Caenorhabditis elegans: one gene and its partner. The protein of the gene in region 1 interacts with the protein of each later gene in a pairwise test. Each region holds a gene or a part of one and is shown on either strand. Other genes may lie near its edges.

Evidence for each region. The genes of interacting proteins can lie anywhere in the genome.
Region 2: the proteins of madf-5 (region 1) and moe-3 interact in a two-hybrid assay, tested with the Caenorhabditis elegans proteins (one large-scale study listed by BioGRID).

What each region holds. Positions count from the first base shown.
Region 1 is NC_003280.10:14,571,341-14,577,770, reverse strand, and holds madf-5 (Alcohol dehydrogenase transcription factor myb/sant-like protein), read right to left. Parts: upstream 4,157-6,430; 5' UTR 4,126-4,156; coding exon 3,824-4,125; intron 3,555-3,823; exon of another isoform or gene 3,362-3,554; intron 3,284-3,361; coding exon 2,578-3,283; intron 1,964-2,577; coding exon 1,862-1,963; intron 1,808-1,861; coding exon 1,646-1,807; 3' UTR 1,210-1,645; downstream 1-1,209. Other genes in the region: C01G12.13 (uncharacterized protein), read right to left, coding at 1-21, 72-166, 220-397, 486-679, 724-814.
Region 2 is NC_003280.10:13,159,111-13,168,217, reverse strand, and holds moe-3 (CCCH-type zinc finger protein moe-3), read left to right. Parts: upstream 1-2,484; 5' UTR 2,485-2,562; coding exon 2,563-2,579; intron 2,580-3,996; coding exon 3,997-4,218; intron 4,219-4,760; coding exon 4,761-4,868; intron 4,869-5,193; coding exon 5,194-5,337; intron 5,338-5,605; coding exon 5,606-5,753; intron 5,754-6,035; coding exon 6,036-6,225; intron 6,226-6,295; coding exon 6,296-6,445; intron 6,446-7,423; coding exon 7,424-7,548; 3' UTR 7,549-7,803; downstream 7,804-9,107. Other genes in the region: F32A11.1 (Mitochondrial import inner membrane translocase subunit Tim21), read right to left, coding at 8,123-8,302. UniProt on the Caenorhabditis elegans protein: Zinc-finger protein that may play a role in oocyte maturation and fertility.

The DNA.
Region 1 (6,430 bases):
GTCGTCTGGGCTTTGACGTGACTTGAAATAGTTGAAAATAAGATAATGGAAACTCGAAATAATAAAATAACCTCCGATCTTTGAATCTGGCGAATCAGTTGCTCTTCCAGCTCCTTCTGCTTGGCCTGCTCACGAGCTTGCTTTTTAACAAGCTTCAGCTTCTTTCCTGTAACCTGATAATTAGGATCCATCAAAAAATCAAAAAATCTATGTGCTCACCACCATCCGGATCATTTTCAACCAGTTTCACATTGCCAAGATCTTCGTCCGTCACAGTCAAAGTTCTGGTCTTTTTCTCCTTCTCATCCTCACTCGGCTGCGAATTCTTGGTATCTTGCGATGGTTGCTGCTCGTTGGATTCGATAGATGCTGAAGGTTGCGTTACATCTTCCAGCTTCTGAAAAATGGATCACTGTATGCTAGTTACTAAGCCTGCAAATATTTTTGAAAATCGCAGCGATGGGTCCGTCCCTATTTAGAATTACCATTTCCTTCTGATCCACCTCCCTTTTAACAACAGTCTCCACCACAGCCTTTTCGAATTGTGGTTGTTGTTGTTTCTCCCTCTTTTTTCGCATTTTCTCCCGATTTTCTGCAATTTTCATCTTCCGCTCCTTCTCCAGCACGGCAGGATCGGTTTCGTAACGGATTGGTATCACTTTTGGGGGTTTCTTTGGCTCTGGAATCTCCCACGTTTAGTTAGAAACATTAATCCTAACCTGCCCTCTTTCGGTTTCCCTTTCAGACAATTTGAGGTTATAGTCATGAAAAACATGATCGCGCAGATGACGTTGTAGAATAATAATTGATACATTGTGCAACTTTAATTGACCGGTTGGAAAGTTGAAACAAATTGTTGGAAATAATTCATTTTGCATGGAAGATGTTATCGGTTGAAATTGTGGAAGTTCACGTGAAGGAAATTTTTGGAAAAAATGTGGGAAAAATTACAAAATATATTTGATATGATAAAACTTCTGAAAAATGTCTGAAATATTTGGGCAAGAACTTCTGAAAAAAAAAAAAATTTTCGGAAGTTTTTTAAAAACTCCTTTAAAAAACTAGAGTTATCTAGCTGTTTCCAGAAAGGTCTAGCAAATAAAAATTCCTTCTTCTCCAAAAATTAACAATTTCAGGAAAATCTCCAAAATACACAGAACAATTCAGAATCCGCGAGTCGGAGGGAGCACGCGCTCTGTCCAAAACCAAAAAATACACGTTTATTATAAAAAAATCGTGGTACAAAAATATACAGGCAAGATGATGGTGTTTGTAGAGACTAATTTCAAAAAATAAAAAAAATGCTGAAATTATGGAGGGAACAAAAGAAAAGTGAAAGAATTGCGCACTGACTAGACCGACGGGGAGTGAGAATACACTAAAAACTAGTTTTTGAACATTTTTCGTTTTCTACATTTAATAAAATGAGGAGAGCACCAATAAGAAAACACAAAATAGATATTTTGAAAAATAAAGGAAGTGTTTTTTCAATGTTACAGTAGCCTACCAGAATTTAGGTCTCGACACGAAAATAAATTATGCGCCTTTTAAACCGATCAGGCATATTTTTGCATTTTAGCTTGAAGGCGCAAATCATTTTTTCGTGGGGGGGGGGACCCATATACTACAAACAAAAGACTAATTTTCAAGCCGTTGGAATTTCATTTGCCGTTGGCTCAACTGCGCAATCTTCATCGTGCTCTCCGGTTGGACTATGTGCTGATGGACTGCTACAAGAGTCATCATTGTCTACAATATGGTGGGTGTCATCGGTTTCGTCCAGTAGTGACATTATTTGGTGACGGACCTGAAAAAAGTTGGAGTCTGAACTTGTTGAATATATCTGAAAACAATCTCTCACCTTTTTCCGTTTTTTCGGGTCCATTTTCTTAAGCTTCAACCCAATTATCCGGCTGTACAATAAATCCTCATCATTGAGCCATTCAAGAGCAACCCGACCGACCTGGAAAAAAGTTATATTATTCTAGAAATTCTTTCTTAAAATTTCTAATGTAGGAACACGTTATAAATTTTTGAAATTTGCTGAGAAAAAATCCTAATTTTGGTAAGAAAATCCAGAAACTTCGATTTAAAAATCTCTTAAAACTTGAAATAAATATTTAAATTCGAAAAATTTTTTTTAACTAGAAACACTTAAAATGTTTCCGAATATATTTTTTTAATAAAAATTAAATTTTAATAATCTAGAAAGTAATTAAATGTAATTCAGAAAACCAAAAAAAAATTCTGAAAATTATACACTTCAACCTTCAAAAAATCATTCCGAAAAGTTCATTAAAAAATTTTTTAACTTTAACATTTTTTCTTGAAAATCACTAAATTTTCCGAAAAAAGGTAACATTAAAAAAAACAGAACTAAATCCGAAGTTTCCAAGAATTCAGCAAACTATTTTCAATCGCATCTAATATTTTTTACAAAAAATCTAGAATTTTTTTTTAATTTAAGAAAGTTTCAGAGAAATTATTTTAAAAAAATCAAAAATCTCCAAAAAATCCAGGAAAATCACGATCCTTCCGAAAAAAATTTTTTTTACCAAATGTTCCAAACCCGCTCACCTGTTGCAAATGATATCTCATAACATTATCCGCAGTCTGCTGCCTATGCCTATTCCTCGCCGCCTCTTTATAAGGATGGAAGTGGCTCGTAGTGGACGCGGTTGGCGGTGGTGTTGAAGGTCGGAGCGGCGGGATCGCTGCCTCCTCGGATTTCCTGGCTCCATTGAGCATTGAACTCATCCCAGTGAGCTGTGCAGCAAGATGGTGTGCAAATCTAGCCTGATTCGCTGCTATGAGGGACTCCACTGATGGTTTCTGTGGGGTCTGTTGGACCTGCTGGACCTGTTGAGCCTGCTGAGTCTGCTGTTGGCTCTGAGCACTTATAGCCTCCTTGAGCATCGCCATAGCTTCGGATTGACTTTTCACCTTTTCTGGGCCATCTTCCTCTACTTCATCTTCATCTTTTATTTTAAGATCTTCCTCCTCATCTCCATCCCCATCAACTCCATCTAGATTTCCATCGAGACTTTGAGTTCCAGATTCATCATTTTCAATTTCAGGGGATATACTGTCCAATCGTTGGGCGGTTTGTGCAAGTAGTCGGTCTAAAACCGAAGATTCGAGTGCTGGATCACTATCATCATCTTCCATCTCGTCTTTTATTGAATTTAAATTTGGAAAACCGAACCAGCTGAACGGTGTGCCTGATGGCTCATCAAAAGAGTCAGATTTACCAGTTTTTTTGCCTTCATCTGCTGCTTGACCACTGCAAAAAATAGACTTTGAAGATGAGAATTTTAACTTATAATCGCGGAGTTCTAAATTATTATTTTTTACTTTTCAGATTCTTTTTGATATATCTTGAATTAATTTTTTGTAGAAAATTTTAATTTTTTTTCAAAATATTAAATTTCGAATCGATCAGTTTTTTGTCGATAAATTGTTTTTTTTTTAATTTTTATAATTTTTAATTTAAGAAAAAAAAGAATTCTGGAATTTTAATTAAATGTTTTAGTATTTTTGAAGTTTTTTTTTGAATTTGATTTTATCTACAACTTTTGATTTTTTAATGAGATTTTTCAAATTTTTTTTTCTGAATTTTTGAAGTGTTAATTTAGACTCTTTAGATATATTTCAAATTAGGTGAACTTATTTTTTAAATTTCAGTTTTTTGTTTTGATATGCCTACAAACCAAAAATTTCGCGGTTTTTCAACAAAAAAATATTAGAAAAAATATTAAAAAATTAGCTTTGTGATGGCCAGAAAAAAACGAGTTGAAAAATAATTATGAAATTCAATTCTTACATATTATCCTTCAAAAACGGGTCCAACCACGATAATTGATTAAAATAACACCATCTAACAGGTGTCACAAATCCATTTTTAATTGCAATCTTTAATTCTTTCCGATATCGATCCCTCAGCTGCAACCATCGTTTCTTCGCAAACTCTGCCGCACAATTCGGGTCAATATTTTTGGCGATTGATTCCCAAAGTCGTTGACGTTCCATTGTGTCCCCGCTGCCACGTCGTGAATGATTATATAGGCACGGGTACTTACGAACCTCGTTTATCAGACGGGCGTTAAACGCCGGCTGGAAGGCCATCTGTTTGAGTGGATTTAAATTTAGAAGGGGTCTGAAACGGAAAAATTTGAGATTTTTAGAAAAAAAAGGCTAAGGGGAGTCAGAAGCTGGGATAATCTAGAAATGGAAAAAAGGAAATAAGACATAAGAATATATATATATATATACATATATCCGTTTTTTGTTTCAAATGTTGAATTATTTTTGAAAATTATTCTTTTAACTATTTTAATTTGGAGAAATGTAGAAAAAATTGTGTAATTAAAGGGAAATTTTAAAATATTCATATTAAAAAATTGTTAATTTTTGTTTAAAACATTTTCAAAAGATTAATATTTGCAAAACCCAATTTTAAAAAATCTTAAAATTTCTAAAATCAACACAAAAAAATATTTTTTGAATTTTCAGTTAATGTTTTTTAAATCAAAATTTTTCTGAAATATTTCTGATAACAAAATATTGAAAACTGGTACTTTTAAAAAAGAGAATTTCAAAAAAATTTAAATCAAAACATTAATTTTGTCGAATGCCGAATTGTTTTTCAAAATCATTTTCAGATTTAAAAATTTTCTGGAAACTTTAAATTGTGAGATTTTTTAATAATCTAGATTATAACTTTCTGAAATTGCAGAAGGTTACGTTTTAGTACTTTAAAACAAAAATCTTTTTAAAAAAATATTTTAATTTTTTTGTCAGAAATTTAAGTAAATTTTGGCAATCTGCCAAAAAAATCTCTGTAGATCATGCAGAGGAATCTAGACACAAAAAGCCAAAAAGCCTGAGTGTGTACTACGACATGGTTAGTCTTCCAAAATGTAATAAAAAGTTTACACACTCTTTCGTGTCATTTCTCTCTTCTTCAATTCCATCTAAATCTCATGATAAACTACCGTAAGACACAATTGAAATGGTTTAGACTGAAAATCTAGGAGAACCGGTAGTATGTGTGGGTGGAGATGGAGTAGAAGAAGAAGGGGAAGAAGCTCTATGTTTTTTCCGGTGCAGGAAAATTGGAAAATTGGGGGATATTCGGTTTTTTATTTTGCTTTTAGTTGAAGCTTTAAGCGGAATTGGGAATGAAAATTAGAGGGAAATTGGTTGACGAAAGTTGCACAAAGTTGATGAAAATTGGTGATAGTATAGCGAAAGTTAAAATAGACTGAAATTGAACAAAAGTCTGCCAAAGATCTACCACAAGTTTGAGAAAAACGCAACTTCTTGAAAAACACTGGTGAAAATTGATGAAATTTTGGCGAAGGTTGGTCGGAGTTCGTAAAAACCTTGCGGGGATTGCTGAAAGTCTAGAAAAAATTAACAGAAGTTGGCAAACGTTGCTCAAAATGTCGAAGATCTGATAACAGTTGCAGAAAATTGTCGTAGATTCAGAAGAAGTTGTTTCTTGCCGAAAGTCTAGCGACAGTTCGCGAAAGTTGTTTTTAAAAAATATTGAAAGTATAGAAACAATTCAAAAAAGTTGGTCAAAAATTGAGCAGCAGTTTGGAACTATTGCAATTGCTTTTTGAAAGTTGACAAATGTCTAACGAAGGTTGGCGAAAGTTGGCAAAACTTTAGCAAAATCTGATAAAAAGGTATGGATTGTTGTAAAAATAGATAATTCGGGAAAAATGGAAAATGTCATTAAACACAATATCTCAGCAGGGGGTGGCTGGCTGACAATCTCCCCCGGTTAGGCTTCTCCTTCTTTTCTTCCCCCAACACAACCATCTTCATCTCCTTCAAACCGAATCATATCAGATAAGAAGCCGTTGATCCGCCCGAAAAAGGAAGGAAACGAACAAAATCCGGATTGCGGACATCCGAACTGAAGCTGGGGTAGGGGCAAAATAGTGTGGAGCAGCGATAGACGCAGAGGTGGTGGAGACCGGCGGAATGGGATGGCGGGGATCGAAGACGTTTAACACAACATTCGACTATGATAACACATTTTTAGAGTGATTTGATTTGATTTGTTTCTGTTTTTTCAGATTTCGGTTTGGGTATTCCGGATTTTTATGCTTTTAGGAGCAGGTGACCGCGAAAATAAAAATAAAAATCGGCCATGGCGTGACTTCAAAGTTTCAGAAAATTTTTAAAATTTCGGAATTAGAATTTACCTTCAAAATATCAAAGGAATTTCAGATACCTGCTCTTGGACCAAAGAAAAAAAATTAAGTATTTTAAAAAATTATAGAAAATGTGTTTGTGAAACTTTCGTAAACTTTCGTTCTTTTTTTGAGAATAAAAATTGTTTCCTAAATACTCAGAATTTGTTTAATTTTCTAGTTCTTTTCTAAACATAAACTTTTATTTAAAAAATTTCTAAAAT
Region 2 (9,107 bases), 1.4 Mb from region 1:
ATTTTTTTGTTGCTACCCGAATTTTCTGGAACTCACTAGAAATCATGCCGACTGAGAAATTAAAAAAAAAATAAATCGAAAGCTGAAAATCTGCCATGCCAGCACTCCCTTCCAAGTTCCAAAAACGGACAATTTTTTGAACCAATTTAAAAAAAGCGTTACATATTCATGCCATCACTTCTCTTTTTTTTCATTCGCATCTTCTCCATCTTGATCCAGAGAGGGGCAAGTCGATGCCGTTTCGTGTTTGTTGTATTGCCAATTGATCCTAATCGCATTGATGCAATAGTCTGGCATTGCTTCTTCTTCTTTCGGCAAAACCTTTTCATTTAGTCCGGTTCCACACGGGCCTCCTTTTTTGCCCTTTTTGCTTTAATTTTTCACTTTTTATAATGCGTGTGTGTGTGTATATCTTTTCGCTTGCCCCTCTAATACTCACTTTTGCGCATCACCATCTTTTCACTCATTACAGTGGATTTCTGAAAGAAATGGAAACGCATGTTACACTCACACCTTTCGCTAGCGTCTTCATCTCTGAATCCTTTCGTTTTCGGTCACTCAGCAAACATGTTACCTCTCTCTCTTTCTTTCTCTGTCTTTTTCTGTTCCATTTGTTACGCAATCGGAATAGAAAAGCAGTTCCAAACTGCCCGTTCTTACCCGCCCTTCCAAGTTTTCTCTCAATCATTTCCCCTTCGATTGCCTAATCTTCCAGTTTGGCTTCTTCATTTTCCCTTAACAATTTAGAATCACATTTTTCTGAGCTTCATCTAATATTTAAATTTGTGCCAAGCGTTCCTACATTGCAAATCAATTGTGTCTTTTTAGGCTCTAGCTTCAAATTTGAGCTCAGGAACAGCTGATCCATAGTTTTTAGTTTGGATCAAAACCTTCAAAACTTGTGTCTTATAAGGCGTAGGTTTGAGGTAGGCAAAAATATAGTTTTCACTTGATTTGGAGAAACTGAAAATTCTCAAAAATGTTCGTCGAATTTTATTCCGACAATTTTCAACTTACCGACAATTTTGGTGCATGTTTTCAATCTGGATTCAGTTGTTTTAAATATTTAAAATACAAGTTAATGTCTGACAAAGCAAATATAGTTATATGTATTTTTTTTTCAATTTTAATGACAAATATTGGGAGAAAATGCCACGCTAGCTCATTTTTTAGAATTTTTGGACACAAAAACATCAAAAAATTTTTGTAGAGACAATGCATATTTTACACGACCACAGCCACAGTACCCGCAAGTATTCTGATATGTATTTTGAACAATTATTCGATATTTTATGTGTTTGCAAAATTTTCCAAAAAATTGAAGCTTCTGAGTTTTAAATAGTGTCAAAAACAGGCAAGACAATTTCGAATCACTTGTAGGTGCGGTAACTGCAAATTTCAAGTTGTTTCGTAATCCGTACCAGGGGTGGGCAGCAAACGATCCGGCAAATCGGCAAACCGGCAAATTGCCGAAATTGGAAATTTCCGGCAAACCGGCAAATTGACGATTTGCAGAATTTGCCAAAAATTTTTTGCCCTTTTTTTTTTGGAAATTTCAGAACTTCAATTTCAGACAGCCGAATTAAGCACATCCTATGAATATTCCTACATTTATTTCAATAAGTAAGCAAATTCTGTTAAAATAACTAGAAAAAACGGGAAAAATTCAAAATGGCACAGTTTTAAGTGTTTACGTCCTGTAAATAATCCCTCTAGACATTTCCGGCAAATCTGATATCCGGCAAACGGCAAATCGGCAATTTGCCGAAAATGAAAATTTCCGGTAAATCGGCAAACCGGCAATTTGCCGATTTGTCGAATTTGTCGACAAATCAATTTGCCGAACCGCAATTGCCGCCCAGCCCTGATTCTATCGCATTTATTTTTGTGTCAAAAAGCAGAAAACTCCGCAACTGGGTAATTTTATATTTTATAGGGCTCCTAAACATCTTAAAGTTCTTTCAACTGGGGTTTTTGTAGGGAGCATCGCAGAATTTTGAAAATACTGGATTTTAAAATCATGTTTCTCCCTGTTCTATTACTTTTAACTGATATACCCCCTGATCCAATGATCTCCAATCAACTGATCGCAATCACATGCCCCCTCCGAACTAGCGGACACATGAATAAAAATCAGCTGTTAAGTCCATGTCGAACCCCTCGTATCTTGTGTAATAGACTGCTCACAATTCTTTTTTGTTCTTATCACCATCACATGAATTGTCATTTCTCGAGACCGGTTCTTCGCTTCTCTGCGTCTCTCGATCTCTCGCCTTATTTTCAGACCGTGTTTTTTACTTTCAAATTTCAGTTCATTTCAACTTCCCCTCTAAGTACATAACCTCTTCAAATATCAAATATTTTGTGTGTCATAGTTATGTTTAATCTTCTCTCATTTTCACTGTTCTCTCATTCTCGTTTATCCGCAACTGACCCTGAAATTTTTGTGCCCGCCGTGTTTTTCACGAATTTCACAGTTTTCAGGGGTATTGGCTGACCGCGACACATTCATCCCGTTTTTCAGATTTTTTACATATTTAATCAAGTCAGGGAAGGCGCACGATGAGCAAGGTGAAAGGGTGAGATTTTTGACGATACTTTTAGAATTTTCGAGGCTAAAATACAAATTTCCGGCAAATCGGCAAACCGGCGAATTGCTGAATTTGCCGAATTTGCCGGAAAAACGGCTTTGAAAGCTTTTTGGAAATTTTAGAATTTAAATTTTAATCGGCAAAATACTACGACTATTTTAAAAAGTAAGCAAATTCTATGAAAATATCTAAAGAAAATCGCGGAAATAATAAACATTTCTGCCGGAAATGAAAAATTCCGGCAAATCGGCAATTGTCGAAAATTTCCGGCAAATTGTGGTTTTGCACGGTTTTTTTGTTGGAAATTTCGGAATTTCAATTTTAATAGACAAAATTGCACGCATCAAAAAATCAAGGTTTTAAGTGTTTTCGTCTTATAAAAAAATCCCTTTAAACATTTTCGGCAAATCTGATATCCGGCAAGCGACAAACCGGCAAATTACCGGAATTGAAAATCTCCGTCAAAAAAAATGTGCCGACAAAAAAATTGCCGAACGGCAATTGGCCGCCTCTGTACATATATATCGACTAATTATTAAAGAAATATGAAAACATAAGAAATAGATGAAGAATTTGTCTAGTTAATAGGTAGGGAAGTAGGCACGTAGGTTTTTTGTGCCTACATGCCTATATGCATAGTGCATAGGGACAGAAAATCTGAAGTTCTAAAAAAATGCTTAAAAACTTGATTAAAAAGTGTATGATTTTGTGCCTACACAGAAAATTTGACTTTGTTTTTTTTTGTTTAATTCCAAACGCGTAAAGCTTTCAAAAATATTTGTTCTGAATATTATCCTTGCTGAAAACACTTTAAAATATATATTAAAGCTTCCTTAAAAGTTTAGTTGAAACCTCCATTTATTAAAAAAAAGTTTTAAAAAAGTTCATAACTTATTCAGTTGGTGTTCCATTGTGACATGGCTATATATTCTTGTCAAGAATATGTATATCTAATTAATAATTTTATTACCACAAAAAATTCCCTTCAAAAGTGTAAGCTGGAGCAATTTGAAAATGTGCAATTTTTAGAAATTTTTAATTTTAAAAGTCAAAGCAAAATTTTAAATAAAATTTTCATAATTGATATTAAATCAGTTTTTGTGCAATTTGTTAAAAGGTTTAATTGAAATTATTGATGCACTATATTTTACGTGTCACATTTTTTACAGCTAAAGCTGTAATTTTGAAAAAGCTTGATAAGTCTAACTAGTGAGATTAAGTGCACTATTTGTGAACAGAAGAGATAAATAAATATCCTGTTCGTTATCACTCGAACGGTTTTATCAGCCGAGATATAGTGGACAGAACAGTGACAACGCCAAAAACTGGCAATAATGATACTTCCTCCCCTCCCCATCCCAACTTTTTTGGATTATTTCATACCCACAACTTATTTATTTTCCAGAGATCTCGAAAAGTCTGACAAGCGTCCACCATCGTCCATGTCAACTGGTTCAGCTGACAGTGGTGTATTCTCATCGGGAGTTCATGCTTCATCACCTAGTCATAGTCAAGGATCATCATCGCAGAGTGGGCCACCGAGTCCTACTACTCAGTTGAACTCGTTGCTTTTTGAAACTGCTAACCTGATTGCGGTGAATGAGCAATTGAGAAAGGAAATTGCAGAGTTAGTTTTATTTTGTTGCTTGGCTCCAGTTTCTTGCGCAAGTTTTGCCCGAAAAAATTAACTTGGAATTTCGGCAATTGCCGGTTTTGGAAATTTTCGGCATTTGGCAATTCTGTGCAATTGCCGGTTTTAGAAATTATCGGCAATATTGGCAATTTCTGCATTTGCCAGTTTTAGAAATTCTCGGCAATCGGAAACTGCAGGTTTTGGATATTTTCGGCAATTGGCAATTTTGACAATAGCCGGTTCAAAAATTACATTACTTTGAGCTTGAAAAAAAAAAAGTTCATTAAAGTGCATGTTTAAGGTCCGGCAGTTCTGATTTCCGAAAACCGGCAATTCTGACGATTGCCGGTTTCGGGAGTTTTCTGCAATCGGCAAATTTGGCAGTTGCCGAAATTGCCGAAAGCAGAATTGGGCCAAATTTCGGTTAAACTTTGGGCCTAAATGTCTTGCCCAACTGTTGCCCAAGTTAACTTTTTTGTGCCAAATTTGGGCAAGAAGCTATGTTTGAAACCTAAACACCAAACACTGTTTTTCAGAAACAAGCAAATCCAGACGAACCAGATGCGAGCACTCAGATACTCCTCAAATCCAGTCGATCAGCCATTTGTAGCGAATTCGATATCACCACATCACGGGTTTCCACAGTGAGTTTTAATTATTCAAATTGTTAAACCAAAAGAAATTCAAAATCTTTTTGATTTGGAAAAAATGTGAAAAAACCAAATCAAAAACCATTGAAAAAATTCAAAGATAACGTACCAAGTTTCAACGCATGTATCTAAACTATTTTTTGTGATATCAAAAAGTTTTTAACTGCACTAATGTAGCTGATAATGTGATAAATATTTTTGTAGTTGAAAATGCTTTCATAGCGCTTAAAATAACTAAGATGTAAGGTGTCAAAGTAGTGGAAAATTTCCACAAAAAAAAACCATTTTTAGAGTTTCTCCTAATAATTACATTTTCCAGACGCCCCCCTCGCGGCGAACGGCGGATGCAAAAGCCCGAATCTTACAAGACGGTCATTTGTCAGGCATGGCTCGAGTCGAAAACATGCACTTTTGCTGAAAATTGCCGATTTGCACATGGAGAGGAAGAGCTGCGCCCGGCGAAGTGAGTTTTCAAAATTTTTGCGCATAACTTTTGGCGCAGGGGTGGACAATTTGCCGATTTGCCGGAAATTTCAATTCCGGCAATTTGCCGATTTTCGGAAAAATTCAATTCCGGAATTTTATCGATTTGCCGGAATTTCTATTCCGGCAATTTGCCGATTTGCCGGAAATTTCAATTCCGGCAGTTTACCGATTTGCCGGAAATTTCAACTCCTGCAATTTGCCGCTTTGCCTGAAATTTGACGCGCAAAAACCCTGAATATTTTCAGACTGGAATCACGACAAAACAACAAGTACAAGACGAAACTTTGTGACAAGTACACTACCACTGGACTATGCCCCTATGGCAAACGGTGTCTTTTTATTCATCCCGATAATCAGCCAAATGCATATATCAGAGCTGATAAGCTTTATGAGGTTAGTGATGGAGAGGTGGCCTAGAAAATTCAAGTCGGCTATCTTTTGAAACTAAAATGTATTATCTAGACTAGAAATTTTGGATTTTTTGCCCAAAATTGCGGTACCCGGTCTCGACACGACAATTTTTACTAGATTTTGAAACTACACTATTCTTTAAAGGCGCACACCTTATTGTATATTTGCTTCACCAACAAAAATATTTCGCGTCGAGACCAAGTACCGTACCTATGCCGCAAAAATCGCAAATTCCTGTAATTATTCAAAAACTCCAATTTTCAGGTCTCGCAGCGCCACGCACTCGCAGATTTACGGGATCACGTGGAATCACAGATTATGACAGGAAATACGAGAAACTCGTATAATCAACAGCCGCCACCGATGGGCGGTCTAGAAATGCAATCTTCACCGATGAAATCGAGTTCTGACTCCAGTCATATGCGTTCTCCAATGGCTCAGATGAATTGTGAAAGTGAGTTTTTTAAAATAATTTTTTAGAAAAAAAACAAGTTTCAATAAATTCCTTGAAATTTTTTTTTCAGCCACGCGTCCTCACCCTAGCTGGCCGTTGGAATCTTCGTCCTTTTTCTTGCCACCCGAAATGTCTTCAATCAATAATAATAATTTGATGAGCCCATTTGAGACGCCATTTCCCAACGGCTCCACGGGAATTCAACCACATTTTGTGACAGGTTAGATTTATGGGATATTACGGGAACACAAAATTCTGAGAATGCGTATTGCGCAACATATTTGACGCGCAAAGTATCTCGTAGCGAAAACTACAGTAATTCTCTAAATGACTACTGCAGCGCTTGTGTCGATTTACAGGGCACAGTCTCCTCCAGTGGAAATTTTGGTTTGTTGGCGCACTTCTCGTGCATCGCGTGCAAAATTGAGAAATTTCCGAAAACGTTCAATTTACTGTTTTTCTTCATATTTTTCATAACATAAGCTTTGGTGGAAGATTACTTTTCAAATGAACATCAAATTCCACTAGAAAAATGATGAAAAATATACGAAATATGAGAAAAACTCAATTTTTAGCGGTTTTTTCTTTTTATATCAGCGCTTTTATTTTTGAACCAAAATCAAAAATCTTTTTTTTTCCACCTTGCCCTTAATTAGCTTTACAATTGATACGTAATTAAAAAGTTTGAAATCGATTTTAAACCCGTGAAAACTGAAGGAAATCACTTTTCAACGGTAAAATTTTCCCACGCTCACGAGAAACGCGCAAGCCCCCTTGTTGGGTCATTTCCAGGAGGCTGTGCAGGGCTCTAGATTTTTGAAAAGAAATTCATTTCGAAAATCGAGCGCTACAGTAGTCATTTAAAGGATTACTGTAGTTTTCGCTGCGAGATATTTTGCGCGTCAAATATGTTGTGCAATACGCATTCTCCGAATTCTGTGTTCCCGTAATAAATTATTCCCCCATTTTTGTGTGAAATTTGTAATTTTTCTTGAAAAAACTTGTGAGCTTGAATTTCTCAAACTTGCGCGTCAAATACGAGGTACTAGGTGCAGTGAACCACAGAATCCGAATACTGTGCAAACACCGACACAAAGCGTCATATTTCACTCGCAAATTTGAAAGATCAATAATGGTTTTTTTTTTCGTGGAAAAAACACAAATTTCAATTTAAAATTAAAAAATTCCGAATTTTCAGCAAAACGGAGAGCAGCCTTTCCTCCAGTGCCTTCCAATTTCCAACAAGACGATGATAATATGTCATCAATTCCAGGATTCGACCATCTTGCAGAGGATATGGCTAAACATCTTGAATTGTGGTGACATTTTTCAGTTTTTTTTTAATTTGAAATTTGTTTGTCTTCCTTGTCTGTGAGTATTGTTCAACGATTAGTTACTAATAATATTTGAGTAGCAAGTGGTCCTAAATCCTTTTTTTTAAAGATTTTTAAATTTATAATAAAAATGGGACCACCTGATACACATCTCACTAATATTTTTTTCGCTTCTTTTTTTGAAAATTTTTTATCTCCTAATATTAATTATTTTTATTGCTCCCCCTAAATAAAGTTTTAATTTTATTTCACACAAGGGATAATACACGTTGCAAAAAGCGCAAAATCCTAAGCTTCTTTCTCTAAAAATTTTGGATGAGGTTGGTTCTTTTCTTTTTTTTTGGGAGGGAGAAACGGAATAAAACCGGAATATGGAGCAAAAAAGAGACGGGAAAAACGAAATTGATGCATACTGACTACGAAAATCAAAAAGAAAAGGCATCTAGAAAGTCGTGTGAACAATTCTGAAACAGGCAAATGTACAATTGAACGGGGACTTTTTGCAAAAAAAAAATTTGAAGGAATAAGTGAGTATTTTCGATCGAGATGCTCCGCACAGCTGCTCACTTTCCGATCCGTTGGCGGACCTTGTTGTACTTGTCCGTGAGCCGGTCCACTCCTGACGCGAATCGTCGATAGCCATTTTGCATGTGAGCAGCAATCGCCAAGACTACGTAATAGGTCTGTTGAGTCAACTTCACTCCGTAGAGAATCACGTCTTTTGTCACGTTGTAGAGCAGAACCTGAATAAAAACTGTTTTGTTTTTGAATTCAAAAATTTATCCAGAAATTTGTGCGAATTTAAGGTTTTGAAGAAATAGTATTATTTAGGGCTATAAATTCTGCTATTTCTGCGCAAAATATTACGGTATCCGGTCTCGACACGAAATATTTTCTTGAAGCGCGGAGGAAAGGTGTGCCGCTTCAAAGTGTACTGTAGTTTCAATATTTCAATGTTGCAGAATTTTTATCGACTTTTTATAGTTTTTTCCACGATTTGTCAACTCCTAATGTTTTTTCTTGTTATATTTGAGTTTTTTAATTAAAAATAATTTTTGAAAAACAATGAAAAAACCGCATCAACAAGAATTTTGAAAAAAAAAACAATTTTTGAGTTTTTGTTGATTTTTTATAGTTTTTTTTGTTAAAAAAATATATTCATTTTTTTTATTTAAAAGCTCAAATATAACGGTAAGAACACAATAAATCTTAACAAATCGTGAGGAAAACTTCGATTTTTGATTTTTATCATTTTTGTCAAAATCTATTGTGTTTTTATTGTTATATTTGAGCTTTTAAATAAATATATAATTTTTTTTAATAGAAAAACTATATTTCAAGCTTGACTAATAAGAGTTTCAAACTACAGTAACCTTTAAAGGCGCTCGCCTTTTCGCATTTGAAAAGAATTTGTCGTTACGAAACCGGGTACAGTGTGTCTGACTCAAAAATTAAAATTTTGAATTAAATTTTAAGTCTGGGTGATAATATATTTTTTTAGAATTCGTCAAAACTAAGAATACAGCACACGAGAACGATTTTTCAAGC